Linked DNA regions of Anolis sagrei. The protein of the gene in region 4 interacts with the protein of the main gene of each other region in a pairwise test. Links are inferred from orthologs where the notes say so. Each region holds a gene or a part of one and is shown on either strand. Other genes may lie near its edges.

Region 1 (7,369 bases), on a different chromosome or scaffold from region 4:
TAAAAGCAGGGCACTGGGGAGATTAATAATGGAAACAATTCATAAAGCTTGCTTGAAACTGATTAATGCACCCGGAGGAGTCCAACAGACTTGGGTTTCTTCATTCCTTTATACCAGGCATGGGCAAACTTCAGCCCTCCGGGTGTTTTGGACTACAACTCCCACAATTCCTGGCCTCAGGCCCTTTCCTTTTCCCCCTCAGCCGCTTAAGCGGCTGAGGGAGAAAAGGAAGGGGCCTGAGGCCAGGAATTGTGGGAGTTGTAGTCCAAAACTCCTGGAAAGCCAAAGTTTGCCCATGCCTGCATTCAGATATCAAAAATATCAAGTTATTTACTGTCAATTTAGCAGTGTTTCTCCTTTCATTAAAGGTCCCTGCTCACTTTAAGGCATTCAGCTATAACAACACATAGGAGGAAACAGAATAGCAAACTTTTTCAACTTAGTTACAACAGCAGTTTCCTTAAAATAGGCCTTTTTTAAGAGAGAGAGAGCGAGAGAAGCAGGTTTTCCTTCCAAATAACTCCTGATCATATGGTTCAGTTGACCACACAATAAACCAGCCTGCGAACTGCACCAATTAAGACTGTAACTAAAAACCCCGAGACTTGGGGGAAAGAGAACCACTCTAAAAGCCATTAGCATTGCATTTCTCTGAATGCATCATATACCTTTATGTAAATTGATTTCTGATGCATTTAAACTCACGAAATGGCCTTTTGTTACCATTTCCAGCAATACGAACCTGGCCTTTTTTTCTGACTTTCTGATTAGAAACAAATCCTATTTCCACACCTCCTGTAAAGAACCCCAAAAGTGTCCCCCTCAAATGCAAACCCACTTGTGCCTTGTCCACCAGGGTCTATGTGGGAAAAGAAAAAGTAAATATTGTACCTAAAGGGGAAACGTTACCCTGACAGAAGCACCCAGTAACCCCATTAAGCCAAAGCTCTTAAGGACAAGCAATACCTTAATGCTGATTAGATCTAAAAGAGATGAATCAAGAGGACTGACCAGAAAGTGACTCCTTCCCTCGCTCACGAAGGAAGGATGGGGGCCCTGATCAAGTTTCAGGCAGAGTTGGGGAGGTGGCAGGAAAGAAGGAAGAGAAAAAATACACACACACAGGGAGAGAAAGAGAGAGACAGAGAGGAGGAAAAGCTTTTAACTGAACTAGCCTCGCTCTGGTAATTACACAGCCATTTCGGGTCCTGGAAACAGAGGCAATGAAACAAAAAGGAGAGGCGAAACACACACAGAGGGAGAAAAAGAGAGGGGGAGGAAGGGAGGGAGAAAGAGAGGGAAAGAAGGAAGGGAGAGAGAGGGGGAGAAAGAGAAGAAGAAAGAGAGGGGGAGAGAAAGACTGGGGAGGAGAAAGAAGGGAGAGCGAGAGAGAAGAAAGAGCAAGATAGGAAGAGAAAGGAGAGGGGAGAAAGAGGGAGAGAGAAGAAAAAGAAGGGAGAGTGAGAGAGAATAAAGAGCTGGAGAGGGAAAGGAGAGGGGGGGAGAAAGAAGTGAGAGAGTTTAGAAAGGGGGAGAGAGAGAGAGAGAAGAGAAAGAAGGGAGGGAGAGGGGAGAAAGAGAAGAAGAGGGGGAGAGAAAGAAGAGAGAGACCGGAGAGGAGAAAGCAAGGGAGAGAGAGAAGGAGAGGAGAAAAAGAGGGAGAGAGAAGAGAAAGAAGGGAGAGTGATAGAGAATAAAGAGCGGGAGAGGGAAAGGAGAAAGGGAGGGAGAGAAAGAAGAGAGAGGGTAGAAAGGGGGGAGAGAGGGAGAGAGAAGAGAAAGAAAAAGAAGGGAGAGAAAGGAGAAAGAGGGAGAGAAGGGAGAGAGAGAGAAGAGAGGGGGAGAGGAAGAGAAAAAAGAGGAAGAGAAAGAAGAGAGGAAGGGGGGAGAGAGAGGAGAAAGAGGGGAAAGAGAAGGAGAGAGGGGGAGAAAAAAGAGGGAGGGGGAGAGGAGAAAGAGAGAGAAAGAAGAGAAATAGAGGGAGAGAAAGGAGAGAAATAGAGGGAGGGGAGAAATAGAGAAGGAGAGAGCCCTTTGACAGAGACTATTCATAGAGACACAGCTTGCAACTCCAAAAATTGAAAATAATAATAATGGGATGCTTTAATTCACGGCTTGTTTTGAAATCAGCTCGATCCGGGGGGAGAGAGAGAGAGGGAGGGAGGAAAGAAAATGCCTCCTCCTCCTCCTCCTCACTTGAGATTTCTTTCTCTTGCCACTGTTTCCCAAGGAGTGTTTAGCTGCGAAGAAAGAAGTGCAAAGGAGGGGGGGGGGAGTTGACGGGCTTGTTTGGCTTCCAAATGCGGGGAGACGAAGGGAGGAAGGAAGGAGGGCAAGGGCAAGGGAAAGGAAGGGCAAGGGCCCGCCGAAGCCGCCGTACCTGTTTCCCCTCTATGGTGCAAGAGGCCGAGGATAACGTGGTGGAGGAAAGGCGGGGAGGCTCTTCGTGGCCAGAAAGCGGAGAGGCGGGAAAAGGGGGAGGTTGTTGACGGAGCAAGGCAGCGAGCGAGCCCGCACGGCGCGGGCGAGAGGGGGAGAAGCAGCGCCCCTTCTCTCGCGTCTCTCGCCTCCGGAGTCAGCAAGCAAGCGAGTGAGTCCGTCCTTCCTTCCTGCTTCCTTCCCTCCTTCCTTCCCTTCCTCGGCGGCTAAGTTTTGGCCCGCTGCTGCTGCTGCTGCTCCTCCTCCGAGCCCGGGTCCTCCCTCTTCCTCTTCCTCTTCCAAAATGGGCTCCTCGGTGTTTAAAAGTCCCGAAAGCGGCGGGTTGGTTCAGCGGGCGGGAAGCGGAACAGCTCCGGCTCCCAGGCTGGGTCGGCGCTCCTTCCTGCTCTCGAAGTGGAGGGAAGAGGAGGAGTTGTGGCCGCGGTGGCGTCGCTGTGGTCGGCGGGACGCGCGCAGGGAGGCCCCGCTCTGGCTCTGGCTCTGGCTCTGCTTGCTCGGCTTCTGCTGCTCCTCTCCCTCCTCCGCCTCTGCGCTCTTCTGGCCCATGTGTTACTGACAGAGCAAAATCCCAACAAGTCCGCAGCTCGGCCCCCCGCGTCACAGCGCCTCGCCCAATCCCCGCGCCGCTTGTTCAGGCGGAATAATAAAACCGCCCAATCGCGAGCAGGGCGAAGGAACCAGGGGGCGGGGAAAAGGCCGAAGCAGGAGGGGGGAGGAGGAGGAATCGAATAGAGAGAAGGGTGCTTCTCTCTACTCTTAACGCGCTTCCACACCGCTTTAACTACTCTGCCTCATTCCTCTGTTTTTTTTAGAGCCTTCTCTAAAGCCAGTGGGATTTTGGCCTGCATCAATAGGAGTCTAGTATCTGCATCTAGGGAAGTCATGCTACCCCTCTATTCTGCCTTGGTTAGACCACATCTGGAATACTGTGTCCAATTCTGGCCACCAAAATTGAAGGGAGATGTTGAGAAGCTGAAATGTGTTCAGATGAGGGCAACTAAAATGACCAAGGGTCTCGAGAACAAGCCCTACGAGGAGCGGCTGAAAGAGCTGGGTATGTTTAGCCTGAAAACGAGAAGGCTGAGAGGAGACATGATAGCCATGTATAAATGCGTGAGAGGAAGTCATAGGGAGGAGGGAGCAAGCTTGTTTTCTGCTTCCCTGGAGACTAGGACGCACAACAATGGCTTCAGACTACAAGAGAGGAGATTCCATCTGAATATTAGGAAGAACTTCCTGACTGTGGAACTCTCTGCCCCGGAGTGTGGTGGAGGCTCCTTCTTTGGAAGCTTTGAAACAGAGGCTGGATGGCCATCTGTTGGGGGTGCTTTGAATGCAATTTTCCTGCTTCTTGGCCGAGGGTTTGACTGGATGGCCCATGAGGTCTCTTCCAACTCTATGATTCTCCTCCCCAGGAGCATCAACAAACTATAACTCCCAGAAATGGATAGCATTGAGCCTTGGCAGTTAAAGCAGGGCCAAACTGCATGAATTCCACTGTGCAGATCAAAGAGTTGGAAGAGACCTCATGGGCCATCCAGTCCAAGAAGCACTTCTGACAAAGCACCATCCAGCCTCTGTTTAAAAGCCTCCAAAGAAGGAGCTTCTACCACACTCTGGGGCAGAGAGTTCCACTTCTGAACAGCCCTCACAGTCAGGAAGCTCTTCCTAATGTTCAGATGGAATCTCCTTTCTTGTAGTTTCTTGTCCTTTCTTGTAGATGTCCCAAAGGCCCTTCCACACAGCCCTATCAAAAAATTTGGCTTGCGGAAGCAAGAATTCGTAATACAGCTTCAGTGGAGACACCTTTTCCAATGATAACTCTTTCAGGAATGAATTTCCCATCCTAGAGGTAGATTTCTTTCACTTATTTATTATTTATTTAAAACATTAATACCCCGTCCTTCTCAACCTCCGAAGAAGGACTCAGGATGGCTTCCAACAGGCAACAATATAGAGCATACCATAAAATATAACCATTTCTTGTTGTCTCATCCTTGTTCTTAACTATGAGCCGTTTGTAAGTCGGATACTTGTAACTCAGGGACTGCCTGTACTGACTAGGGTTGATGGGACAAGCTTCTATCACTGTTTATAGGGATGCTTCCTCTGCAATAAAATCCCATTTTATTTAGTTGTCATTTCTGTGGCGTAATGTAAAATAAACCACGTGTAGTTCACATTTGATCAGCTCACACACTGCCTTGCCAGAGAAAGAAAATAAGCCACGCAGATGAACAGCGAAAAAAAAAGTAGTTTACTCTTTGTCAATCAGAACAACATATTTACAATGTGTTCAGTTGCATCAACTCACATAATGTCCTTTTATGAGAGATTTAAAATGGTCTTTGTCCATGTGGAGAAATTCCTACAGCAGCTCATTAAGCAAGAGTACACTCTAAGCTATCTCTCTGGGTGCTTTACTCTTCTCTCTCTGCTGGACACCTGCATAGCTCTGCTGAACAAAAATGTAACGGTAACCAAAAGTCCCAGGCTCAGCTCAGGCATTGCCTGACCAATCAGATTCATGCATCTTATTTTGCAATTGACACACACACACTCAATGATTCCTTGAAGGCTCCAACAATTTCTACATAAATATATGCTTCCTAAGCTCAGAGGGAAGAATGCTCTTCTCTTATCAAACAGAACTCCAGCCATGTACATTGAGCATCCCTTATTTGGGATTCCAACATCCAGAAATATTAAAAAGTCATCCACTTGGGTGGCGGAGGTAGGGATGCCTTTGCTTTCTGATGGGTCACTATACTCACACGTAGTTTCATGCACTAAATTATTTGAAATACTGTGTATAAAATTGCCTTCAGACCTTAAAAGATATATATGAGACATAAATGAACACCATGTTTAGACTCCGGTCTCACCTCCAATTGTGAACGGATGTGCAAAGAGAAGTATTTCAAAAATCGGGGGCGGAGGGAAGTGGGAACTAAACCTCTGATCCCAGGCTTTTCAGACCAGGGATAGCTTTATCTGGAGTCTGTGTTTCATATGCTTTTCGAGGTGTGCAGCACCTGTCTGCAAAAGTGCCCTGTGTATTAGCTAGGCCAGAGCCACCCAGTGGACTACACAACAGATGACAGGAGGTTTGAAATGGCATTATATGATCAGTGTTGACTCATCTAACGCAGTTTAACAGTGTTATATGAGTCTACACCAGGCATGGGCAAACTTCAGCCCTCCAGGTGTTTTGGACTTCAACTCTCACAATGTTAGGAATTGTGGGAGTTGAAGTCCAAAACATCTGGAGGGTCGAAGTTTGCCCATGCCTGGTTTACACTGATCATGTAATACCATTTGCAAATAGCAATGCAGATGGGGCCCAAGAGGTCCTCCTTTGTACCTCCTTGTACTTTATCACACCAAGAAAGGTGCTTTCAGACACAACAGGTTTTGTAGTCTGCTCCAACAAGCGTAGGACTTTCCTAGTCAATATTTTTCATAGAATCATAGAGTTGGAAGAAACCACATGGGCCATCCAGCCCAAGCCCTTGCCCTGCAGAAAAAGCACAATCAAGCACTCCAAATAGATGGCCACCCAACTTCTGTTTAAAAGCGTTCAAAGAAAGACCCTCCGTCACACACAGAGGCAGAGAGTTCCACAATTGAACAGCTCTCACGGTCTGAAAGTTTTTCCTAATGTTCAGGTAGAATCTCCTTTCTTGTTCTTTGAACCTATTGCTCCAATCCTATTATCTAGGGCAGCAGATATATATATATTTCCTACAGATATACAACAAATCAGTACAGCATGGTTTTTCATATTAGTGCAAAAACTTGGAGCATCCCAACTTAGAAATGATGAGTAGTTTGTAAGCCACTTTTTGAAAATAATATATCTAAAGTACATGAATTACTGTAATTTCTATCCCACCTTTCTTCCAATATGGAACTCAAGGTGGCTTTCAGTATATTTACAAACGGAGTATAGATAAAACAATGTATGGTGCAAAATTTCAAAATAATATGTTTTAAAAGGCACTACTTTAAAACATGACTCATGAATATGGAAGAACAACACATGCCATTAAGAGATCTTTCTACAACAGCAAATTTGCAGCCAGAGGCCTAAACAAAAAGGTCTTTGCCTGCAGGTGGAAGAAGAACCAAACAAGATTCTTGTAGGAGGGAATGCCTAGGAGAAGCCATAAAGAAGATCTTCTTTGAGTAAATCTACACTAGAAATAATCAAGTTTGACACCACTGTAACTGCTATGGTTCAATGCTGTGAAATCATGGGAGTTGTCGTGTTTAGCCATCTCTGTGCTGGTACCTCACAAAATTACAGTACTCAGGGTTCCATAGAATTGAGCCATGGCAGTTAAAGTGGTGTCAAATGGCATTAATTGTGCAGTGTAGATTCACTTTTAGTCCTTGTCACAGGGTGGGACCAAGAGAAAGCCCTCCCCGCTTATCTTAAAATTTGAGCAGGCTGATACAGCATTTCCATGCCAGACAATAATATAATCTAACATTTTAAAAATAAATCGAATATTTTAATGTAAATTTTAATACATTAAACGTAAACATAATGCTAGATAATAAGAAAAATATTCATGTTAATAAATAACATAAACAGGTTAATTGGTTAAGCAGGGTGAACATAACTTTGGATCTCCCTCTCCAAGTCTCATTGTACGTATACAGACTACTGGACTAATATCCTTTATGTTTATAATACAAGCGATCATTTAGCCTTCAAGTCTGCTGAGAAAAATTACCAAATCACTCATTTACAGGCACTTTTCTCAGTCATTTCTGGCCCCAAAGAATCGGCTTTCCTGTCTGGTTGTCTAGACAGATTGCTTACCTGTCCAAGGTGAACAGATAAGTATTTGCAAGCCTTCTTTGATCATGGAGGAACTCGGACTTTTGAATCCAAAGATTCATGTATGTAAAAAAAAATGTT
Region 2 (7,335 bases), on a different chromosome or scaffold from region 4:
ACAGTAATTAGATAGGGTAGGTAAAGGAAGAAGGAAGGAAAGTAAGGAAATAAAATCTATTATTCTATTATTCTGATTTTGCATAATGTGCTGTATTTTCTATTTGCTTTTCTCCTTTTAATGGTTTGTGTTTTTAACTGGTTTTACTTTTATTAATAGCTTAATTACATGCTTAGGTTTTGTAAACTCTGAATTTTTAGTCATGCTTAACACTTGTAAGCTGCCTTGAGTCCTGAATTGGGATAAAAAATGTCCAGACATAAATATCTCTCATATATATATGAGTCTGTTTTTCAAAGAACAAGGGGAAACTTGCAAGTAGTAAAAAACCCAAAAAACCAAGGCCCCCAGCACAAGACGTTTACTGTAAATAAAGATAAATTGTGCAAAGGAGATGAAGAGAAAAAGGGAAAAGGTAATGAAGAGAAATTTTGTAATGATCAACAAAGATAATGGGATTGTCAACATCACAAACACAGAACTGAAATGCAAATTCTTGTCAATAAATCACTTCATACAGCATGCAGGTAGTTTCCCTTTTACTATGTTTTTGACAATTTTACAGTGTCCATAGTCCACTCTATTATGTTCATTTACGGTTCTTCCTTGCAATGAGCACAGGTTAAGACATTGTCGCTGTTGCATATCATCATACAGAGAGGAGATAAGAAAGGGAGATTGCACAGAAATACGGTCATGTTATAAGTCTGTGATGTCACTACAGGGTACAGTGAGGTGACACCAAAACAATTGTCTATAAAATTACAGCAGAAATGTATTATTTTTAAATACTTTTAAATCATACAGAAACATTTTTGTAAGGTTACATGTCTTACAGGGATAAAACTGATCTGGTCAAAGCTGTCATTGTTACCCAATTGCCATCATGCCTTGAATCAAATGGTTTTGTCTGCATGTACTTTTGTTTTAATTGTGGCTACTTTTTACACTTTTTGTGATGTTTTCTGATATTTTAGCTGAAATATTCTGGTCTGGTCAAGGAAGGCCCGTGGGGTGGCATTATGGGTTATTGCACTGAGTGATACCAGCCCTAGGGGACATCTGCACTGTAGAACTAACATGTTCTACACAACACTTAAACTTCCCATGCCTCAATGGTATGGGTTCATGGGGGTGGGTGTTTTAAAAGGTCTCTATAATCTTCTCTATGCCCCCTGGTGAGGCAGCAGGTTAAACTGCTGAGCAACTGAACTTGCTGAGTGGAAGGTTGGCGGTTCGTTATCCAGGGAGCGGGGTGAGCTCCTGCTGTTAGCCCCAGCTTCTGCTGACCTAGCAGTTAAAAAACACGCAAATGTGAGATCAATAGGTAACGCTTCTGCTGGAAGGTAATGCTACCCCATGCAGTCATGCTGGCCACATGACCTCGGAGGTGTCTACAGACAACAGCAGCTCTTCGGCTTAGAAATGGAGATGAGCACCAACCCCCAGAGTCGGACACAGCTAGACTTAATGTCAGGGAAAACCTTTACCTTTACCTTTAGTGTTGATAAAATAAATATTTATTTAAAATCAGCAAGGATAATTGTTTAGGAGTCAAGAAAATTTTAGAAAAATATATAAATCTTCACTTACATCCTTCACTGAGAGCCTTCCTAAGTTCAGTGGTCAATTCATTTCATCTGATTGACACCACAATGTGCCATAATTAAATACAAGGCTCTTGTAAGTACAGTCTTCCCCTCACTGCCTTGGAAGTGGAACAGTCCATACATAGGGCCCTTCCAGACAGGCCCTATATCCCAGGATCTGATCCCAGGTTTTCTGTTTATCCCAGGGTATCTGGCAGTGTAGACCCATAGGTAATAGTATGATAGTTGGGTCCGGAAGCTCTGAGCATTACAGAGATGCCGCATAGCTCCTTCAGGAGCGCTGTTTGCACAAGAGAGACTTAGCTAATGTAAGCCAGGCTGGAGACAGATAATACAGAAGGAATGTAAGAGTTCTTTAATGATGAAATTCTAACCCTCACTGTAAACCTAAGCCTAACCCCTTACCCAAACCCTTACCCTAACCCAAACCCTACTCTAACCATTATCCTTACCCTTACACTAACCCAAACTCTAAACCTCGCCCTAACCCTAAACTTTGCCCTAACCCTTACCCTGAGCATCCCGTTTTCTATCCTTCCTTCGCTCTCCCCCCTTATTCAAAGCCGCCTTTGCGGCATTTCCGTAACGCTCGGAGCTTCCGGACCCAGCTATCATACTATCACTGACCCATATATTCCAGTTTAAAGCAGAAAACCTGAACTCAGTTCCTGGGATATATGGTCTGTCTGGAAGGGCCCATAGAAGATGATCTCACTGATAAATTTATTCTGGGATATTTTGACACCTGCCCATGCTTCCCTGCTATTAACCAGCTAGATAATAGGATGATAGCTGGGTCCAGAAGCTCTGAGCATTGCTCCTTTGGGAGCGCTGTTTGCACAACGCAGAACGGAACACAGATATTATAGAAGGCATGTAAGAGTTCTTTAATGGTAAAACCCTAACCCCTAACCCAAACCGTAATCCTAACACTTATCCTAACCCTAATTCTAACCCTTTGTTGTTGTTGTTCATTCGTTCAGTCTTTTCCGACTCTTCGTGACCTCATGGACCTGCCCACGCCAGAGCTCCCTGTTGGCCGTCACCACCCCCAGCTCCTTCAAGGTCAGTCCAGTCACTTCAAGGATACCATCCATCCATCTTGCCCTTGGTCGGTCCCTCTTCCTTTTTCCTTCCATTTTCCCCAGCATAATTGTCTTCTCCAAGCTTTCCTGTCTCCTCATGATGTGGCCAAAATACTCCATCTTGGCCTCCAATATCCTTCCCTCCAGTGAGCAGTCGGGCTTTATTTCCTGAAGTATGGGCTGGTTGGATCTTCTTGCGGTCCAAGGAACTCTCAGAACTTTCCTCCAACACCACAGTTCGAAAGCATCTATCTTCCTTCACTCAGCCTTCCCTATGGTCCAGCTCTCACATCCGTAGGTGACTACGGGGAATACCATTGCTTTTACTATTTTTTTTCGAAAGCATCTATCTTCCTTCACTCAGCCTTCCCTATGGTCCAGCTCTCACATCTGTAGGTGACTACGGGGAATACCATTGCTTTTACTATGCAGATCTTTGTTACCAGTGTGATGTCTCTACTCTTCACTATTTTATTGAGATTGGTCATTGCTCTCTTCCCAAGAAGTGTCTCCTGATTTCCTGGCTGCAGTCTGCGTCTGCAGTAATCTTTTCATCTAGAAATACAAAGTCTGTCACTGCCTCCAAGTTTTTCCCCTCTATTTGCCAGTTATCAATCAGTCTGGTTGCCATAATCTCTGTTTTTTAGATGTTTAGCTGCAACCCAGCTTTTGCACTTTCTTCTTTCACCTTGACTCCTCAGCTTCTCCTCGCTTTCGACCATCAAAGTGGTATCATCTGCATATTACCTTAAACCTTATCCTAACCCTCCCCTCCTTTCTATCCTTCCACCAAATGCAACTACGAAGTATATTCCTGCCCTCAATGTGCCGCTCTCCCCTTCCCTTATTCACAACCCCCGTTGAGGAATGTGCGTAACACTCGGAGCTTCTGCACCCAGCTATCATACTTCCATCACCAGCCGCGATTTAGTGTGCATCCGGGCGTCCCCTGGACAACGTCCTTGCAGACGGCCAATTCTCTCACACAAGAAGCGACTTGCAGTTTCTCAAGTCACTCCAGACACGAAAAAAAACATGCGCATGCGCCGTTTGAGGCGCTGCACTCTAGCACGCCTCCTGTGAGGAAGAGGGGAGCAAAGGTCTATTGCAGGGGTCCTCAAACTAAGGCCCGAGGGCTGGATACGGCCCTCCAAGGTCATTTACCTGGCCCTCGCTCAGGGTCAACCTAAGTCTGAAATGACTTGAAAAGCACACAACAACAATAACAATCTTATCTCATCAGCCAATAGCAGGCCCACACTTCCTATTGAAATACTAATAAGTTTATATTTGTTAAGATTGTTCTTCATTTTAATTATTGTATTGTTTTTAAATGTTTTTTGCACTTCACATAAGATATGTGCAGTGTGCATAAGAATTCATTCATGCTTTTTTCAAATTATACTCTGGCCCTCCAACAATTTGAGGGACTGTGACCTGGCCCTCTGTTTAAAAAGTTTGAGGACCCCTGGTCTATCGGCCTGGCCTCCTAGACATTCAGAAAGGAGCGCTCCAAGTGGCGCATGCGCACTGGGTCGCTGCTGAGCCGCCGCTGATTGCTGAAGAGGGAGAGTTGTCGTCCGCGAGAGGCGCGCTCTCATCTGAGATTAGGAGATCGACTGTTCTTCCTGGGCCGGGCCGGAAGGAAGTGCCCAAGCCCAAATCGAGCGCTTGCCGAGTTCTTCATCCCATTTCTGGAAAGACCTCCTGGCCGGTTTGCTGCTCGCCCGGGTCCCGTCGCCATGGTGAGAGGAGAGACGGAGGGGGCGTTCGGTCGGGGGTTGTAGCTGCGAGGCGGAAACGAGTCCGGTTTGCAGGAGTGCGGGGAGGCCGCCTTCCCCGCTTTAAGGCCCGGTCGGAGTGAGTCAGCACAGCCCGGGGATGGCGGGCGCCTCGCGGCCCGGGGAGAGGCGCCCCAATGGCTCCCCTCCGAACTCCTTTTCAGGGACCCTGACTGACTTTCCCGGGAAAGGGGCATGGAGGTGTTCTGTGCCTGCTTTGGAGTCATTTCCAACTCATGCTGGTCTCAAGGAGAATGAATGCAGTTCGGCGCCACTTTCACTGCCATGGCTGGGTGGGTGGGTGCTGTGGGATCCTGGGAATTGTAGTTTCAAAAAGAGATTTAGCCTTCTCTGCCAAATAGTGCTGGTGCCTCATCAAACTACAACTTTCAAGATGCCATAGCGTTGAACCCTGGCAATTCAGCTGGTGTCAAACTAAATTGATTTTACTGTGCACTCTAAGGCAACCCTGTTATGGGAGTTTCTGGGGCTGAAAGAGTGGCTTGCAATGGTCACCCAGTGAATTCAACCCCTGCCTCTCAAAGCTTTTCTAGGGTAGCAGTTCTCAGTTTGTGGGTCCGCAGGTGTTTTGGCCTACAACTCCCAGAAATCCCAGTCAGTTTACCAGCTGTTAGGATTTATAGGAGTAAAAGGGCAAAACACCCGGGGGCCCACAGCTTGAGAACCACTGTTCTAGAGCTTTCAAGGTCCCCCTTCTCTAGTCCCTTTGGGATACTCATTCTGAGTTCCCCTGTTACTCAGTATTTTATTTCCAATATCTGTTGGAAATAGCATTGTCTGATTTTCTGAATACAGGTTGAGTGTGTCTTATTTGGGAATCCCAAATCTGCTAAAATCTAAAATTTTCCACCTCGGTGATTGAGATAGTGACACCTTTGCTTTCTGATAGTTCAGTCTGCCCAAACTTTGCTTCATGTACACACACCAAAAATGCAAAACATTGGGTTTCTGTAAGTTTTCCAGCTAGTATGGCCAAGTTCCAGAAGCATTCTCTCCTGACATTTTGCCCACATCTATAGCAGGCATCCTCAGAGATCATGAGGTCTGTTGGAAACTAGGTAAGTAGAGTTTACATATCTGTGGAATGTCAGGGTGGAAGAAAGAACTCTTGTCTGCTTGAAGCAAGTGTGAATGTTACAATTGGCCAACTTGATTAGCATTGTATGGCCTTGCAGACACAGCAGAAAATAGTTCTTTCTCCCATCCTGGACACTTCACAGATATATAAACTTCACTTACTTAGTTTCCAACAAACCTCACAACCCCTGAGGATGCCTGCCATAGATGTGGGCAAAATGTCAGGAGAGAATGCTTCTGGAACATGTCCATACAGCCCGGAAAACACAGCAACCCAATGATTCTGGCCATGAAAGCCTTCAATAATACATTTTTACAAAACACTGTTTATAAAATTATTTTCAGCCAATGTGTATAAAAGGTTTGTATGAAAAATAAAATGAATGTCTTGGATGGACATAGGTATGTCATTATGTGTGTATATGCAAATACAGACATGCCAAAATCCAAAATTCTGATGGTCCCAAGCACATTAGATAAGGGATACGCAACCTGTATCAATAAGAGATGGTTGATATGTAGGGTTGGCAATCAAGAAGTAGCTGTTAACAAGCTAGCATGCTGCTGAAATGCCAACAAGATGTATTGATTTCAGTAATCAGAGCCTTATCTTTATCTGTAAAATCAGTAAATTGGCAGCAGTCATAAATTACATAATGGGTTCACTTCTCTGTGTGTGGAGCCAACACCCCCAAATACAGAATTTTTTGGCATCTCATACAGTCTAAGGAAAAAACTTTACAACACCCAATATGCAGCATCCTATAATAATGGACATCAGCCTGTCCTATAAGGGAGAGGATTTATGGTTATCAAATAAAGGACATTCCTTATAATATATAACCCATGGCAACACTAGTCAGGACACAGATGTGTGCCAAATAAGAAAGAGACCCTAACATTCAGTTAATCAAAGTAATCCCTGCCCGGTTTTGTTTATTTTCAGAACAACGCAAGAGTTCATTACTTACTCCGATTTGTTACTGGGTTGAAACTGGTTTTTTGCTGTTTGTTCTTGTCATACACTGGTTTTTCCCATCACCTCAATTTCCCCATCTCATTCAATGATCCTCCATTATTTGTAAAAGGCCCACGTCCTTCTTTGTTACCACATGATTCAGCAGTTTGTTCTACATTGTATCCAGTGTTCTCCAAATAATACGGTTTCTTCCAGAGTTTCAAATATCTATAGATGGATTAGTCATTTTCAGACACCTTGTAGTGCTACCACAAAATGTAATTGTTTCTGAACAGCGTTGGAGAGTGATATCTCACATAATTTCTGGCCTCTCAAAGAACATCCCAGACACCAAATTGCTGTAATCTAAAACAAGAGCAGGAGCATTTCATAGTGACTTGTTATTTAGAAGAGAATTAGAATTTTTCCTAACAAGTATTAGCAATAATATAATTTTCAACCAACATAGTTAGAACAAGAAGGTTAATGTTCTTCATATTGATAAGCTTTCTTTTTGAAGGTCTCATGTTAGGTGTTGCTCAATATCTGATATTTCCAGTAGGCAACTCACTCCTGTTGAAAATGAAAGCGAAACCTTCTTAATTTGAAAAAGTAATGGACCTTTTTTGATTCCTATGTTGAGGATTGTGTTTCTGATCACGAATTATTTATGAAATGTCCTCTCAAGATTATCCATTGTTCTTGCATTTTTAAATGGTTTCCTTTGATCTCCACTCTTGGTTTATACAGCACATCTTCTAGGAAACTTACACAATTACAAATTGCATGTTTGCGATAGAAAT
Region 3 (7,506 bases), on a different chromosome or scaffold from region 4:
TTGAGTGTGTTTAAATTTTAGGAATTTCAGCCCAAGATTATCTGAGGGGGCACTTTGCCACCCCAAATGGACACCATGATATGATTCACAGAAATAAGTGGGCTAGCTATGTGCACTGGAGACTTGCTTCTTTGGGTATAAAAATATTTATTGAACTATAGAAATATTTATTGAAATATAAAAATATTGAGCAACTTTCACTATGTTCTTGATTATGAGTGATGGATGCATACTTGGATATGAAATGCTAATGTCATTAAATATATGTGAAATCAAGAATTTATGAAGAACTTCAGGTTGCCATTGTAAAAACACACTTAAAAGGATTGTTACAGAAATATTAAATTAAAAGGTATCACCCATTATGTCATGGCTACAATTAATTGTATAAAGCTGTAGTGACTTACGTTCAAATCCAAGTAATATATGAGATACAATATATAAAGCTAAGTGAGATGTGGTATACAGCTTCTTTAAATCACAATCCAACCAAAGACTTATGAGTCAAACATGAATTAAGGCTGAAACCACTTTAGTGTACAGCAGTGCATAATTCTACAAAATGAACACATTACAACCATGTTTTGAGGGGCACAAGACATTCTGGGATGTTTCGTTACACTTCACTAGAGACCTCTAAGGACGCTTGCATTGCGATGGGCATCTAATGCCATCTGATCGAATGAATTATGGTTGATCAGATCTCTCACTTTTTCCCTAAGGTCATACGATGCTTTGGCAATTTTCCTCGATTCTTCAATAGCCGTGTCTTTGTGCCTTAGGATCTGATTGCTTTTCTGATCCTTCCGTCGTAGTGCTTCTTGCAACTCCCGTAGGTGACATTTTTCATCGTAATCGAGCTTCTGTTTGCGGCAATGGTGGTTCCTTTCCTTCAGGCAGTTCATTTCTTTTACATGCTGTGCTCGGTCATCAATATTTTTGGACATGATCTCTCTGGCCTGCTGGATCTTCATCTCGGCAATCTGCAGCAACATCTCCTTCCGCCGTCTCTTCTCCTCCTCCGTCTCTTTGGCTCGCACCTTGGCGATCATGCCTTGCTCCTCCTCTTTGAAAGACCTTTCCTTCAGTTCCCTGTTCCTCTCTTCCAGCAGCTGCTCCAGGATCTCCTGAGACCGCTGGAGCTTCTGCTCGATACAGAGCCTCTTGTAGAGCTCATCCGCTTTCAGCCGGTCATCCATTTGGTCCTTGTGCATGTGCTGGGCCCGCCTGTATTCATTCATATCTGTTTTCCGCCTCTTCCTTTCCATTTCCTTCATCAGCCTCTTCTCCAGGGCCTGCAGCATCTTCTCCTTGTAGGCATGAGAGCTCTGCTCCCGAGCACTCCTCTCGCTTAGCTTTTTCTCCCAGAGTTGCTTCTCCTGGCAACGTTTCCGGTACTCGGCTTGAAGCCGGGCACTTTCGCATTTCTCTCTGCGCCGAGACTCCTGTTCTTTGGCCAGCTTCTTCCACTTCTTGTCGCGGAGCATCATGTCCCTCTCCCTGGAGGCTAAGAGCTGCTGTTCCTCCAGCCGGAGCTTGGAGAGCCTCTGGTCGCGGTCCCGCTGCCACTGCTCCAGGCTGTCGGCCACATGGTACCGGCGCTCCTTGTCCAGCCGGGCCTTGTGCTTCTTCTCCTTCCGCCTCAGGTTCTCCCAGGCGTCGGAAACCCGCAGCTGCCTGTCCTTCATCTCCTCCTCCTCCTGGTGCCGGGCCAGCATCAGGGCAGCGATCTTCTTGTCCCTTTCGGGGAGCAGGTCCTCGTAGCGCTTGTCCACCAAGTCATGGAGGTGGATCTGGTGGTCGTGGGCTTTCCTGGGCTGCTTCTGGGGGTGGCGGAGGTGTGGGGTGGCACCGATGGGGTCATAGGCTGCAGCAGCAGCAGCAGCTTCCTCCTCCTCTTCCTCCTCGTACTTCCGCAAGGAGTGCATGAGGTCCACGAGGCTGGGGCTGCTCCCGCAGAGCTCCCGCCAGTCCCGTCGGCTGAGCTCTTTGGCCTCGGGCTTCGGGGGCGGGCCCAGGGAGGAGTAGGAGGAGGGGCAGCGCGAGGCCGGCTTGCTGGCGTCGGTGGGGAAGTCGGCGGCGGCGTAGTCGAGCGGGCGGGGCACGGGGCTGGCCCAGGGCTCCTCGGCGCGCGGGCCGGCGGGCCAGTCCCCGCCGTAGAGGGTGGTGCAAGAGGTGGCCGTGCCGGGCGTGGCGCAGCCCTCTCCCCCGGGCTGCCAGGCCGAGAGGCGGCGCGCCGAGGCGGGCTTGGGCCGGCGGAGCGAGGAGGAGCAGGCGCGGCTCTTTCCCGGCCGACCGGCCAGGCGGCCCCTCCGGCCCTCGCCGCCCGCCACCTCGGGCTCCGAGCTGTAGGCCTCCAGGAAGCCGCACGCCGGCGAGAAGCGCCCGGGGCTCTTGCGCCTCGCCATCTCCCGCGGGCTTTCCGCGCCGGACAGGCTGCAGCACGACGGGGCGGGCGGCTTCTTCTTGCCCGCGGCGCGGCGGCTGCTGGTCTGGTTGCCCGCCTCCTCCTCGCCGCCCACGCACGCCGCCCACCCGCCACGCGCGCGGCGCCGTCGCTGCTGCTGCCGCCGCATGGCCCGAGTGCCCTCGCGCCCCCCCGGCCCCGCCCCCCGCCACGCGCGCCCCGGCGCCACATAGGCAGCGCGCGCGCGTCACAAGCGTCGCCAAGGAGACCGCGCGCCCCGCCCTCCAGCCCGAGCCGGGCGGGGCTGGGCTGGTCAGAGAGGGACTTCCTCACCCCTTCCTCCCACGTGACCAGCTCTCCCCTTCAGTCCCAACGTGAACTCGAAAGAGTCAAATAGAGGAGATCCTCAAGCAGGCGTGGGCAAACTTCACTTCAACTCCCACAGTTCCTAACAGCTGCATTAGGATGGGGTAGGGAAAAGAATATACATACAGCCCGGAAAACTTACACCAACCCAATGATTCTGGCCATGAAAGCCACAATACACACACATTTTGTGGCTCCCTCTTGCTTCAGGCATCTTTGGTAGCAGGGTTTTGATGTCATGAAAGGGCACTGGATTGTTACCTGCTTAATTTATTGTTATAGTTTTTATCGCCCATGGAATGAGATGATGGTGGGAATTTCTGTCTCAGGCACTACAATAATGGCAGGTTTAGGGTACTATGAAGTTTCATTTGGGAGCTGGAAGTGTAAATTGTTGCTCTACACCAGGCTGCAAAATGTTTAGGGTTAGCTCTCTCAGAGGGTCTTTCTACATATCCCTGTATCCCAGAATATCAAGGCAGAAAATCCCACAATATCTGCTTTGAACTGGGTTATCTGAGTCCATACTCAGATAATGTGGGATTTCCTACCTTGATATCCTGGGATATAGGGCTATGCGGAAGGGCCCTTTGGGTATTATACAGTTTCATTTGGGAGGTGGGAGTGACAATTGCAACTCTACATCATACCGTAAAATGTCTAGGACTAGCTGGACTCAAATAAGTTCAAAGCAGATATTGTGGAATTTTCTGCCTTGATATTCTGAAATATAAGGTTGTGTGGAAGGCCCCATAGTCAGCCAGCTATTAGGAATTTTGGGAGTTGAAGTCCAAAACACCTGGAGGACCAAAGTTTGCCCATGCCAAAGTCGTGCAGGATTGCATGGCACAATGGAGTTGGATTGGATGGGTCTTTTCCCAGCTCTGGGAGCATTCCTGGGTCTTGCTCAGTTGGGGATGTTTAGCAAAATGCCACACAACCTGTGTTTTGCTTTCACAGGCCAGCAGCCTGTGCCATTCCCCACTTTTTCCCTTAGAAGGTTAGCAGCAATTTGAGAAAGAGGGAAGTTGGACTTTTTTTAAAAAAATGCAAAACACTGCTATAACAGTCAATAAATATTAAAGACTCCTGTAACAAACTACAGTAGACTCTTAGTTAACAGGAACTCTCACACAACCAGCAAAAAATAGAATAATAATAATAACAACAACAATAAACTATTTATACCCTGCCACCATCTCTCCAAAGAGATTTGGGGCGGCTAACATGAGGCCATGCCCATACAAATTACAATAGAGCAAAAGTACATATAAACAAAACTAACATCAAATAAAATAATAACATAGTAATAAAGTTTGTAAAAAGTTTGTGGTATGGTATAGCATGGTGTATAGTAGGGCTGGGCGGTTTCGTTTCGTTAATTCGTAATTCGTTAATAATTCGTTAATTTTTTCAATTACAAAACGATAACGAACCATTCTGGAGCAATTATTAAAAAAAAGAATTTTCAAAAACGTTTTGTAAATGCTTCGTATTTCGATATTGTATTCATTTCGTTATTGTTTTGAGGTCGTTTCGTTATTATTTCCGCATGACTGGGCCAGTTTTATGGTTTAATTAGTGAAAAAAAATTATAAAATCACACCAACAGTCAACAACAGAGGGAGAGGGAAGCTTCAGAAGGTTTTGGAGGTTTTTTAGCGTATTTCGCGGTCGCGTCTGCCATTAACAAATCGATTCGTTATTGTTTCGGAAATCGATTCGTTAATTTTTTTACCATTTACGAAATTTCGTAAATATCGAACTTTTTAAAAGGAAAATTTTGTAATTATTTTAAATATCGAAACAAAAAAACCCCCCAAATACAAATCGATTTTAGAAACAATTTTTTTCGTTGTTACCCAGGCTTAGTGTATAGTGCTAGTTAAGCCCATTTGTAATAGTAACTCTCAAGCAACCAGAAACTACATTAATCTGGCATCTGGTCTACTACAGGAGGAATCTCATTGAACTATTCCTGAGTCTTGGAATGCTGAGGCAACTATGTAGCATTGGTCTGTGCTTTGCTTCACAGACCAGCAGTTTGTGGCATTCAAAATGTTTCCCTTGCAAAATAACTTTTAACACCAACAAATTGAGAAATGGGGAAGTAAAGCTGGACTTTACCAAACAGGAGGAAACTCCAGACTGGTGTAGTGATTTGAGCATTGAAGTAGACTCTGGAGAGCACTCTGGAGAGCAGGGTTCAACTCCCCACTTGGCCGTGAACTCTGTTAGATGATGGCCTTGGGTAAGTCATGCAGTCTCAGATGAAGGCAACTTTTTCCTTAACAAATCTTACCAAGGAAACTCTGTGATTTATTGCTCTTCCAATAGTCTGCCTTAGGGCCACATGAAGTTGAAAATAATTTTAAGGCACACAATGAACTGCAAATCCCAATATTCCATGGAACCATGGCAGTAAAAGTAGAACCTTAAGGTTTATGTGATCCTGTTAAGACTTCTGTGTGTATATATGTAAATACTATACTTGTGTAGTGTCGCAGTGCCCCTTAGTGTAGTCCTTTTTGGAACTCTCTTGCTGCGGCTGGCAGTTTCAAACTGCCAAGATTTTAACCAGTGCCTCTCTGTGTGTACATATGTAAATGCATGTAAATCCTCCTGCATATGTTCAGAATGCATACTTGGAGGCCCAAGGCTTCAAAATTCATACAATACTGGGGGAAAGGTTCTTGGTACAATACTAAACTTTTAAAAAATGTTCATTTGTATCTAGTCACTCTTTTCCTCTTTCACTCCTAAATCTCTCTCTCTTTCTCAAAAGAGAAATAATATATATTTTAAATGGTAATACCATCAGTATTTTCCCTAGGCTGTAAAGATCTACTTGTGGTTTAAAGACCACTGCATTGGGATGGGGGTGGGGTGGGGTGGGGGGAGAATATACATTTTGTGATTCACTCTTGCTTCAGGCATCTTTGGTAGCAGGTTTTGGTGTCATGAAAGGGCACTGAATTGTTAGCTGTTTAATTTCTTGTTATTATAGTTTTATCGCCCAGGAGATGGAAAGAGTTGATTGCGAATTTCTGCCTCAGGCACCAAAATAATGGCTGGTTTAGGGTACTATACAGTTTCATTTGGCAGGTAGGAGTGCCAATTTCTGCTCTACATCAGGCAGCAAAATGTCTAGGACTAGCTCTCACATAGTCACACAGCCATTTCACAAGTATTTAATTCCTTAGCTTTTACAGCATCTGAGGATCAAGAGATTTGGACTTTTAAAAATCCTTTAAAAGCATTTGGAGTCCAGCTTGGTTAATAGTGTCAGTGCTCCATTTCTCAGAGGAAGAACTCAGCCTGCTAGGAAGACTAATCACGTCAGTGAAACCTTTGCCTCTTCCCTGGATGTTTCTGTGCAGTGCTTTGGCACTGGAACAGAGAATCTACAGCCGAATGCTGGTAAATCTGGATGGATAATCATATGTAATCTGATTTTTCTAATGCCACATACAAGATGTAATTACTAGCCCCTGTAATGTACAATCAAACACTTAGCCCAGTCACTAGCATATGGATTATTTCATGCGGTGATGCATATATAAAGAATATTGTAGTATATATTCTGTTAGTTGAATTAACTGTACAACAAGAAGGTTAAAAGATTGAACTGTGAACTTCAGTTTCATCCCTCTAATGTGTTTCCTCCTCTCAATAGTACAAACAGTTATAAAAAGTTACAACAAACAGGATAAATGGAAGTACAGTGGTTCCTTGGTATCTGCTGGTGCTTGGTTCCAGGACTCCTGTGGTTGCTCCATTTCCATTATATACAATTGGATAATAATAAAATTGTATCTTTTTTATAAAATGACGACTCAAATGAGCAGTGCTGGATTTAGGACAAATGAGGGCCTGTATTAGTAGTTATGAGGCCCCTTTGTGGCACCCCGAAGGAGGTAGGTCCAGCAGACACTCCCATTGATAGAGTATCAACCAGCATTGCCAGGTGTCCTGGATTATAAGGGACAGTCCCTTATTTAGATAAAATGTCCCACGTCCCATTGCACCCTGGTCCAGGACATCAAATAATAATAATAATAATAATAATAATAATTTTATTTTTTACCCGCCTTTTCTCAGGGCTTGAGGTGGGTTACAACATTATTACAACACCTAATCAAAACACAAAATAATTTAAAAAACACTCCATAAAATACACATATTAAAACATATTTCCATAAAATACATATTAAAATAAACAAAAGTTAGACATAGAATGGAAGTTTAACATTCATCATTATAATTATTTCCACTGATTGCATGCACCAGATCTGAGTATGCAGTGAGCCTAGCATGCGCTTCCTTCCGGTAGGGAGTGAGTCCAAGCCTGGCCAGCCTCTTCCCCTCCCTCCAATGGTGGCATCCTTCTGGGCACCCAGGTGACATGGGCTCCACTCTGGGTGGCGAGGGGTCTCTCTATCTTCTGTAGCCCATCTGACCTCTCCCCACTCCCCCTTCTAGACCTTCTCCGGAGGCTGGGTGCAGGTACTATCTGGATGTCTTTGCCACAAGAGGTGTCTAGGCCATAGAGGACCTTGGGTGAAAGGGGGCGGGGATGAGGCCTTTCCTTTCCAGAGTACTTTATTTTCACCTTCAGCGCCTGGCAACCCCGCTATCAACTCTATCATTATGTCTGTAAGGTAAAGGTAAAAGTTGTCCCCTGACATTAAGTCCAGTTATGTCTGACTTTGGGGGTTGGTGTTCATCTCCAT
Region 4 (7,639 bases):
TTACAGCAATCCAGTTCTATGCTATCCTGAATAAAAGTTCAATGTGCCATATGAAATCAATCAGATCAATGTCCTGACATTTAGTGTATACTTTAAAGGCATTTAATGTATACTTTCATTCCTCTAGCAGCAGTACAGTGTAGACACATGTACTATTGCTCTTTTTGGAAGATGTGTTGCACCCTAAACTGTATCTACCCCGGATCCTACTTTTTAATCTGGAAATAAAAAAAATCTACTTTGTCGAGTTTTGAATCCAAGTTCAAACTTATGCAGAAGAGGGAAAACAAAATGACAAAAGGTCTGGAAGCCATGTCATTTGAGGAACAATTCAGGGAGCTTGGCATGATCTAGCCTTGAGAAGAGGCAGAATGGCCATTTTTCAGGAGTGATTTGATTGTGTATTCCTGTGCGGCAGGAGGACTAAATGGTCCATGTGGTCTCTTGCAATTCCATAATTTTATTTTTCAGAAATGTTCATGAATATAAATGAGAACATATGGACGAAAAATAGCAAGGAGCCCTCTTTTTATACCAAAGTGAGTTGTATGGATCTTAATGAAGTTTAAGATAAACAAAAACAAAGAACAGAACCCAAACTTCCTTGGACATAAGAGGGAATATTAAACCAAAGCATCAGTCAGCTATCAATATCTGTAAATAATGGTTTGACAAGTTTGAATCAGCATCTGAGAACCACTTAAAGGTGGTCTGCTGAACCAAATTAGTATAATCATGGGTTGGATCTTAGTTTATTACCAATAATAATGAAATTAGGTATAAAACACTACAATAATGCATTAGTTTATTGCTCATAAAGGGCTTAATGAGCAGTAAGGAGTTCGATGGTAGAGCACATGTTGCACAGACGTGAGTTTCTGGTTTCATCCCCTCTCCAGATAAACCACAGACCTGATGCCAATTGGAGCAGACTATATTGATCGAGAGGTGGTCTGGTTTGGTTTTGGACAGCTTCTCAAGAGATCAAAAAACTCACGACCCAATGACTGACTTGCATGTTTGAAAGATGGCAGATTTTTCTTTTTGCCTTACCCTCAACAACAAAGGAAATTCCTAGACACTGTTGTTTTTGATCACGTGAGTGATTATTCATCTACTATAGAACTATCAAGTTATGATGTAGAAATCATATCTGGAAATATTTCAAAATGCCTTTGATGTTGCAAAGTAGCATCGGAGTACCTCTGAACCTGTATATAATGCCTTTCCTTATTGTGGACTAACCACAACCAGCCCCGCCCAGTCTGGAACAGAAGCTAAACATTTCCTGGCTGGAGGCTTTATTCAAGGTAAAGTATAGGCTCATGCTTTCTGACATATCATCTAAGAAGATGGATAAATCATAGAATACAGAGATTCACAGAAATTACTTGCATGTACTTTTACAGGTTCTGCTCTTGTTAGTTTAGCTTTACCCCCAAAAGCAGAAATTAAGTACCTAAAGCTTTCAGAAGTATGAGAAGGTTTCTCTGCCAAGCATAACGACACTATATTTGCACAATTATCTAGGACTTTGAGGCAGGGGGAGATTCCTTTTGGACTGCCACCCTTTTATCCCCCCTTCAAATGCATTTTGATCTTCCACAAATGTGTTTCACAAAACCATGAAGAAGAGCTTCAAACATTTCCCATCCACTGGTTTTAAAAGCAGTTCATGCTTTGTTGTTGTATACTTTCAAGTTGTGTGACGCAGAGCAAGACTATTACGGGACTATTTTTACCAATTATTTTTTTCAGCTGAAGGTTGCCATTGCCTTCTTCTGAGGCTGAGAAAGTGTGACTTTCCCAAGTTGGGTTTCCATGGCCATGCAGGGATTTGAAGCTTGGATCCTAGACTTGTAGTCCAACAATCAAGCCACTACATCACACAGACTCGAATACCTGCAATGTACATCTTAAAAACTATTTACACAGCTGATAACTGCAGTTATCTCATCTTATTCAGTTGAACTTTTGGGAATCCAACATATTTTAGAGTTTTGTTGCAATCAAAGAAGCAGCATGCTTCTTTGGTTTCCCATTTGTTCATTTTTTCTGCATCACAAAATGAATAACCTTATTAGATTTGGTTGCATTTGTAACATTTCATGAAATTGGGTTGTGTTATTTCTTAGTACCATCAGGTTGCTTTTTCATTTCATTTTCTTTCTTTTTAACAGAAAGACAAAGGTTTCCTTTTTGCTTGGCTTGATTTTTAAGCAGAAATTGGAGTTATATTAGATCTGTTTATCCCCAGAGAAACATCACATTGTACAATATATCATGCTCTATTACATGGATCATTTAAAATCATGCTACAGATGTAAGTTGGAAGATGAAATCCCCCTCCATGCTTTACACATTTTCATCTGGATGGTCCTACCTTGTCACGGAGATCCTCAATAATCTTGTAATAATGGCTGTAGTCCTTAGCTGGACTACTAGGGGCCTGCTTCTGGTGCCAGTCTCGGATCTTGACCTCCAGGTCAGTGTTTGCTTCTTCCAGAGCCCGCACCTTATCCAGGTAATTGGCCAAGCGGTCATTGAGATTCTGCATTGTCACCTTCTCATTTCCAGTAAGGAGGACTCCATCTCCACCACCATAGTCAAAGCAACTACCAAAGCCACCACCATAGCCTCCACCAGCACCTCCACCAAAGCCACCACCATAGCCTCCACCAAAGCCTCCGCCAGCACCTCCACCATATCCTGAAGCCAAGCCAACACCTCCACCAGAGATGAATCCAGAACCATACCCGCCTCCTAAGCTTCCTCCATAACCACCTCCATGTCCTCCTCCAGAAGAGACATACCTAACAGAAGAGGAGGACATCCGGCCACCACCTCCACCATGGCTGCCGGAGGACACACGGCTGGAGCCACCCCCACCTCCAAAACCCATACCACCACCATAAGAAGCAGAGGAACTATAGTAGGTAGACATTCTGGGAACAATAGGTGAAGGTTCAGATGCAAGACTGTTACTTGGCTTGGCTGAGCATGCAAGAGCTAGGCTTTGAAACTTTGCCGGGCTCCATTTATAGTTGTCATTGTGGGGCGTGTTTATGCTAACAGAAAGCACACATATTGCCAAAACACACCCTCATGGGTGAGGCAAGCTGAAAACATGTGCTTGCATGGAAAAAAGTAACAGCTCATCCAAAAGAGGGGCTGTGCTTTCTATACATATTTTTCTTTAAATTCAATGAAACAAAAGATGTTCAAAATTGTCTCAATTGGCATCCGAGATTGGATTACTCCATTCGCAATCTCTCTTTCTGTATCCATATCTTTTTTTCTCTTTCAAACATTTGATACAAAGTGAAGGAAATACATACTGAAACTTCATTAATAGAGAAGCCATGCCAATGGAAACTATTGCATGCAGAATGAAATTATTTTAGCAAAAATTCCCCTAATTTCCCAGATGTCCATACTACCTTCTCTGTCTTTTAGCAACCAATTTGTGGCTCATTTGCTGTGACATTTCTCTCTCAACAACCTCTCTCCCCCCTCCAATTTCCATCTGGATTTTGAAAATGCACATACTTATTTATAAATAAAAAGTGGGGGTGTTTGGTAACATCTCTTTTAGACTATTGCATTTATTTGATTTACTGCATATTTCTATCTTACTTTGGGGGCAACAAGCCAAAGGTAGCATGCAGGGCTCTCCTCTTCTATGTTTTATCCCCATTACAGACCTGTGAAGTGGGTGAAGTTGACAAACAGTGACCTGTCCAAAGAAATTCAGTGAATTCTGTTGTTCAGTGGGAACTAGAATATAGAATTCATAAGCCTCAGATGAATACCTCACATTGATTCTTCTGTTAGTGACTGAAAACTGCAAGAATTCATTGTGTTCTATGCAGTTTATTTCATTTTAATTTAGGCATTTGTAAGAGATTTTCCAGGTAGAATGGGTCCTTCATCTGTTTTGTATTTCTTCTTCAAGATATACGCTGTACTTCTAAGTTCTGCAAAAGCTATGTGAAATTTCGAAGTGAAAACCATTATGATGAAAATGGACCTCATACTAGTGGAAAGTAGATTTATTTTTGAGAGCACTATGAGACACTGGATGCACCCAACATTTCTTCTAGTGTTAGAGCTCTCTTTTAACTCACTCTCTTTTCGTGCCTCTCTCCTACTCTATACCAATTCTTTCATTCACCGAGCGATTGCACAAAGGAGCTTATGTGCATTGGAGACTTGGTAATCTGTCAATCAAGGTGAAGATGATGGATACTAAAGTGATAGAAGAGCACTTGCCTGCTTTCATTTCTTCCCATTGCTGCCATGATCCAGTTTCACAGACACTCCTACCACACCCAAGTTGGGAACTAGGGTGCAGACAGGCTGGACTGGCACTAATGTCAAGTAAAGGTTTGGTTTGCTTCACCTGGAAGGTCAAGCGCTCTCCTCCCTGTCAATCCATTTTACGTCAATCCACTCTAGATTTTAGTCAGAACTTTCAATACACAATCCAAGATGCTAAACTTATTTTAAAAATATGGTCAACATTTTGGAGAAGGGCTAGGCTCCTCTAACACAGAGTATGTATATAGCTGGTGTCCCAAAGCACAAAAAAGGACCAAAGTTTCTTGGCCTGATGCACTTTGGTCCCAATGCATGTTGATCTCAATGCACACTGGTCCTATTATAAATTGGTCCTGATACACATTGGTCACTTATTGATGTCCCTGTATAATAACATAATGGCTGAATGCTGACATTACAGAATCTTACAAAGTCAGATGTTCCCACACAAAATCTTAGACAACATCTTTCAAACCTGGACTAAAACTCAAGAGTATCCATTGTTCCAGTGTCATGAGGGCTGCCCATCATGACTGCTGCTCCCAGTGCTAGATTTAGGACAAATGAGGCCCTGGGCTAGTTAAGTTATGAGGCCCTTACTTGGGCCCCAAAGGAGGTAAGTCCAGTAGGCCTACATTGCCTTCTTTATGTCACACTCCAATATATTATCAACTCTATCATTATGTCTGGAATTGCTCTGAAACAGAATACCTTCAAATGTAGAATTTCACTACATAAGTAAAATCCATAGTAAAAAAAAATTGTGGGGGGGGGGGGGGGAGGAACATGGGTCTCACTGGTCAACAAGCACACCAAAGCATAATGGTAAATCAAGCAGTGGCTGCTCCCTTTCATAAACACAAATATGTTCAATGTGCTACTGCATCCCCCTCCTTCCTCCAAGATGAGAATTGCACTTGTACAGTATAGAGAAGACAAACAAATGCCTGTAGCACAAAAATTCCCTGATGCAAAATTGGTACAGAAAGATAAGAACCACACGTCCACAGAACCATACAAATTAGTGCTGTGATCATAGAAAAACCTTTGTTTTTGCTGGGTTCTTTTTGTACAACCTATAACCATACACTTGAATGCTTATAGAAGTGCCAATTCTGCACCACATGTTTTTCCAGGTAGAAAGTCACTCTTTATTTGCATCCAAGGCTAAATTAACCTATACAAGCATATCTTGGCTAATGTAGAAGATGTGTTCCTGGACTTTAGTTGTTTAACTGAAATGTTGGAACCAGAGGAAGAAATAACATGGAAAGAATGGGGATGGGTTCCTATACAACTAAAAATCGGTTCAACATATTTCAGCAAATCTTTTATCCAAAACTAATATTATGCACATAAGAAATGAAACAACCAAATTAGGTGCGCCTTGCATAAGTAAACAAAAAACATTTTGAATCTCCTAGACACCACTTGAAAGTTCTTCCAAATCATTCAGAAATGATTTTCTTTCCCTTTCAAGCAGGCCTGTAGCCAGGATTTTGATTCGGGGGAGGGGGGGGGCTGAGTCTGAGTGAGAGGGTCTACCCTAGCAAACCTTTTGTATCATTACTCCATGGTGATCAAATCATGATATGAATAAACATAACAGTTTAAATAATGTACCAGTAAGGCCTTCTCGCAGACCACCATGAGAATTTGGGGGGGGGGGGGCTGAAGTCGCCCCCCCCCCCAGCTACATGCCTGCTTTCAAGAGTCTCTTTTCTTCTAATGATTTCCATTCTGTGGTGAAACATATAGTTCTATCATTTTTCTACATGTCAGTCTGCCTTGCCCTTTTTTTTCTGTTTTGCTTTGAATGCTGCTCAGAAAGCGATTATGGAGACAGCTGCTGTTTAAACTGGCTGCTGTATCTAAGCACACACAGCTAGAGCAGGATCACCTACAATAAAATCCAATTTTTTCCTATGTTAAATTTATTACATCGTTTATAGTAGACATAGTACTATTATCCAATACTCAAATTTTGTCCAGAAAATTTCTCCAGCTGATCTTGATCATCCTCTCAAAACTTCAGGTAAAACGGAAAACAAGAGAGAGAGGCTGGGGGAGGGGAGGCAAGGCACCCACCAAAAGACTTTATAAAAAGTAGCTTTACAGAAGCTGTGTTAACTGAAGCATATACAGTGTTCTCTCACTTATCACGGGAGTTACATTCTAGGACCACCCACAATAAGTGAAAATCCGTGAAGTAGGGATGCCATATTAATTTTAATATTTATACATTATATATTTTATATATTATTTTGTTACCCGCACTTCCTTACCCACCTCCTGGTCCATCCCAAGGGTGCCTGCCTCCCTCCCTGGCCTCCACAGACCCCGGCAGAGCCTCCGGAGCCTGGTCTGTGGAGGCCAGGAAGGCAGGCCTTCCCCACCGCACCTCAGATGCTGCACTTCCAGAGTCCCTGACCACCACTGGATGTAAATATTATATATTTTTAATTAATATTTTCAAAAAAACCCAAAACAGCGAGTCCGCTAAAAGCGAATCACGAAGTAGTGAGGGAATACTGCATGTCCTCTTTGATGCAGGTTAGAAGTGATGCATCCATATCAGGACTCATGCATGAAAATGGGTCTCCACTGTCACTTCAATTAAGGACAGAAAGTGAAAAAAAAAATGTGGGGTCTCCCCAAGGAACCAAAGGTTGTGTAACTGAGTAAAGAGTTTTGCTACCTTTTGCATTAATTTTTAAATGGGCTGATAAAGTTTCTGAAAGAAAAGGTGGGACTTTGTTGTTCTGGGAGTCAAAACCTCTATGCAGACTCTCCTATTGGATCGACACCTTCAGAATTTCAGTTGGCAACATCAGTCTTTCAGCATCGAAGAGAAAGGTGTATCTCTTCCTCTGAAAGAGCAAGAGGCTGTATGTATTTCTGGTTGGAAAGCATGGAAAGAAACATGTCTCAAGCACAGCATGGCTTTCAGCCAGGGAGTTAGAGCAGACATGCCAAGGACATGATTGATAGTCATTAACAACTTGCCACATCTGTATATCGTGGAGGATTTGTTACTTCAAACAGCAAGTTTAGACAAACCCTTGCTAATTATGAATTTTTTTCCCAACAGGCCTGTTCAATGAACTGATTGTTATCCAACCCTTGGAAAAAATATTGCTAATTTGTTTTGCCCATTTTACTGTGGATCAAATTAAGGGAAAGGAGATTACTTCTTGGGGAGGCTAATTTGATGACATCTGAATAGAATATATTTGAAGGAGAGATTACCAAATAGAATTAATGCAATTTGACATCCCTTTAACTGTCATGGCTCAATGCTAAGGATTCATGGGAGTTG

What was found.
Region 1: the proteins of keratin, type I cytoskeletal 13-like (region 4) and LMO4 interact in binary tests that used the Homo sapiens proteins (3 or more experiments, as listed by UniProt). The two-hybrid records come from large-scale screens. The link is inferred for Anolis sagrei from reciprocal best matches to the Homo sapiens genes KRT15 and LMO4.
Region 2: the proteins of keratin, type I cytoskeletal 13-like (region 4) and PSMA1 interact in binary tests that used the Homo sapiens proteins (3 or more experiments, as listed by UniProt). The two-hybrid records come from large-scale screens. The link is inferred for Anolis sagrei from reciprocal best matches to the Homo sapiens genes KRT15 and PSMA1.
Region 3: the proteins of keratin, type I cytoskeletal 13-like (region 4) and CCDC185 interact in a two-hybrid assay, tested with the Homo sapiens proteins (2 studies listed by BioGRID and IntAct). The two-hybrid records come from large-scale screens. The link is inferred for Anolis sagrei from reciprocal best matches to the Homo sapiens genes KRT15 and CCDC185.

Annotation. Positions count from the first base shown.
Region 1 is NC_090024.1:153,051,167-153,058,535, forward strand, and holds the start of LMO4 (LIM domain transcription factor LMO4), read right to left. Parts: upstream 3,002-7,369; 5' UTR 2,381-3,001; intron 990-2,380; exon of another isoform or gene 967-989; intron 1-966. UniProt on the Homo sapiens protein: Transcription cofactor. Plays a role in establishing motor neuron identity, in concert with MNX1, acting, at least in part, to disrupt LDB1-LHX3 complexes thereby negatively modulating interneuron genes in motor neurons.
Region 2 is NC_090021.1:250,232,303-250,239,637, forward strand, and holds the start of PSMA1 (proteasome subunit alpha type-1), read left to right. Parts: upstream 1-4,316; 5' UTR 4,317-4,437; coding exon 4,438-4,440; intron 4,441-7,335. UniProt on the Homo sapiens protein: Component of the 20S core proteasome complex involved in the proteolytic degradation of most intracellular proteins. This complex plays numerous essential roles within the cell by associating with different regulatory particles.
Region 3 is NC_090021.1:87,015,068-87,022,573, reverse strand, and holds CCDC185 (coiled-coil domain-containing protein 185), read right to left. Parts: upstream 2,584-7,506; 5' UTR 2,577-2,583; coding exon 627-2,576; 3' UTR 516-626; downstream 1-515.
Region 4 is NC_090026.1:39,014,717-39,022,355, reverse strand, and holds the start of keratin, type I cytoskeletal 13-like, read right to left. Parts: upstream 3,023-7,639; 5' UTR 2,945-3,022; coding exon 2,384-2,944; intron 1-2,383.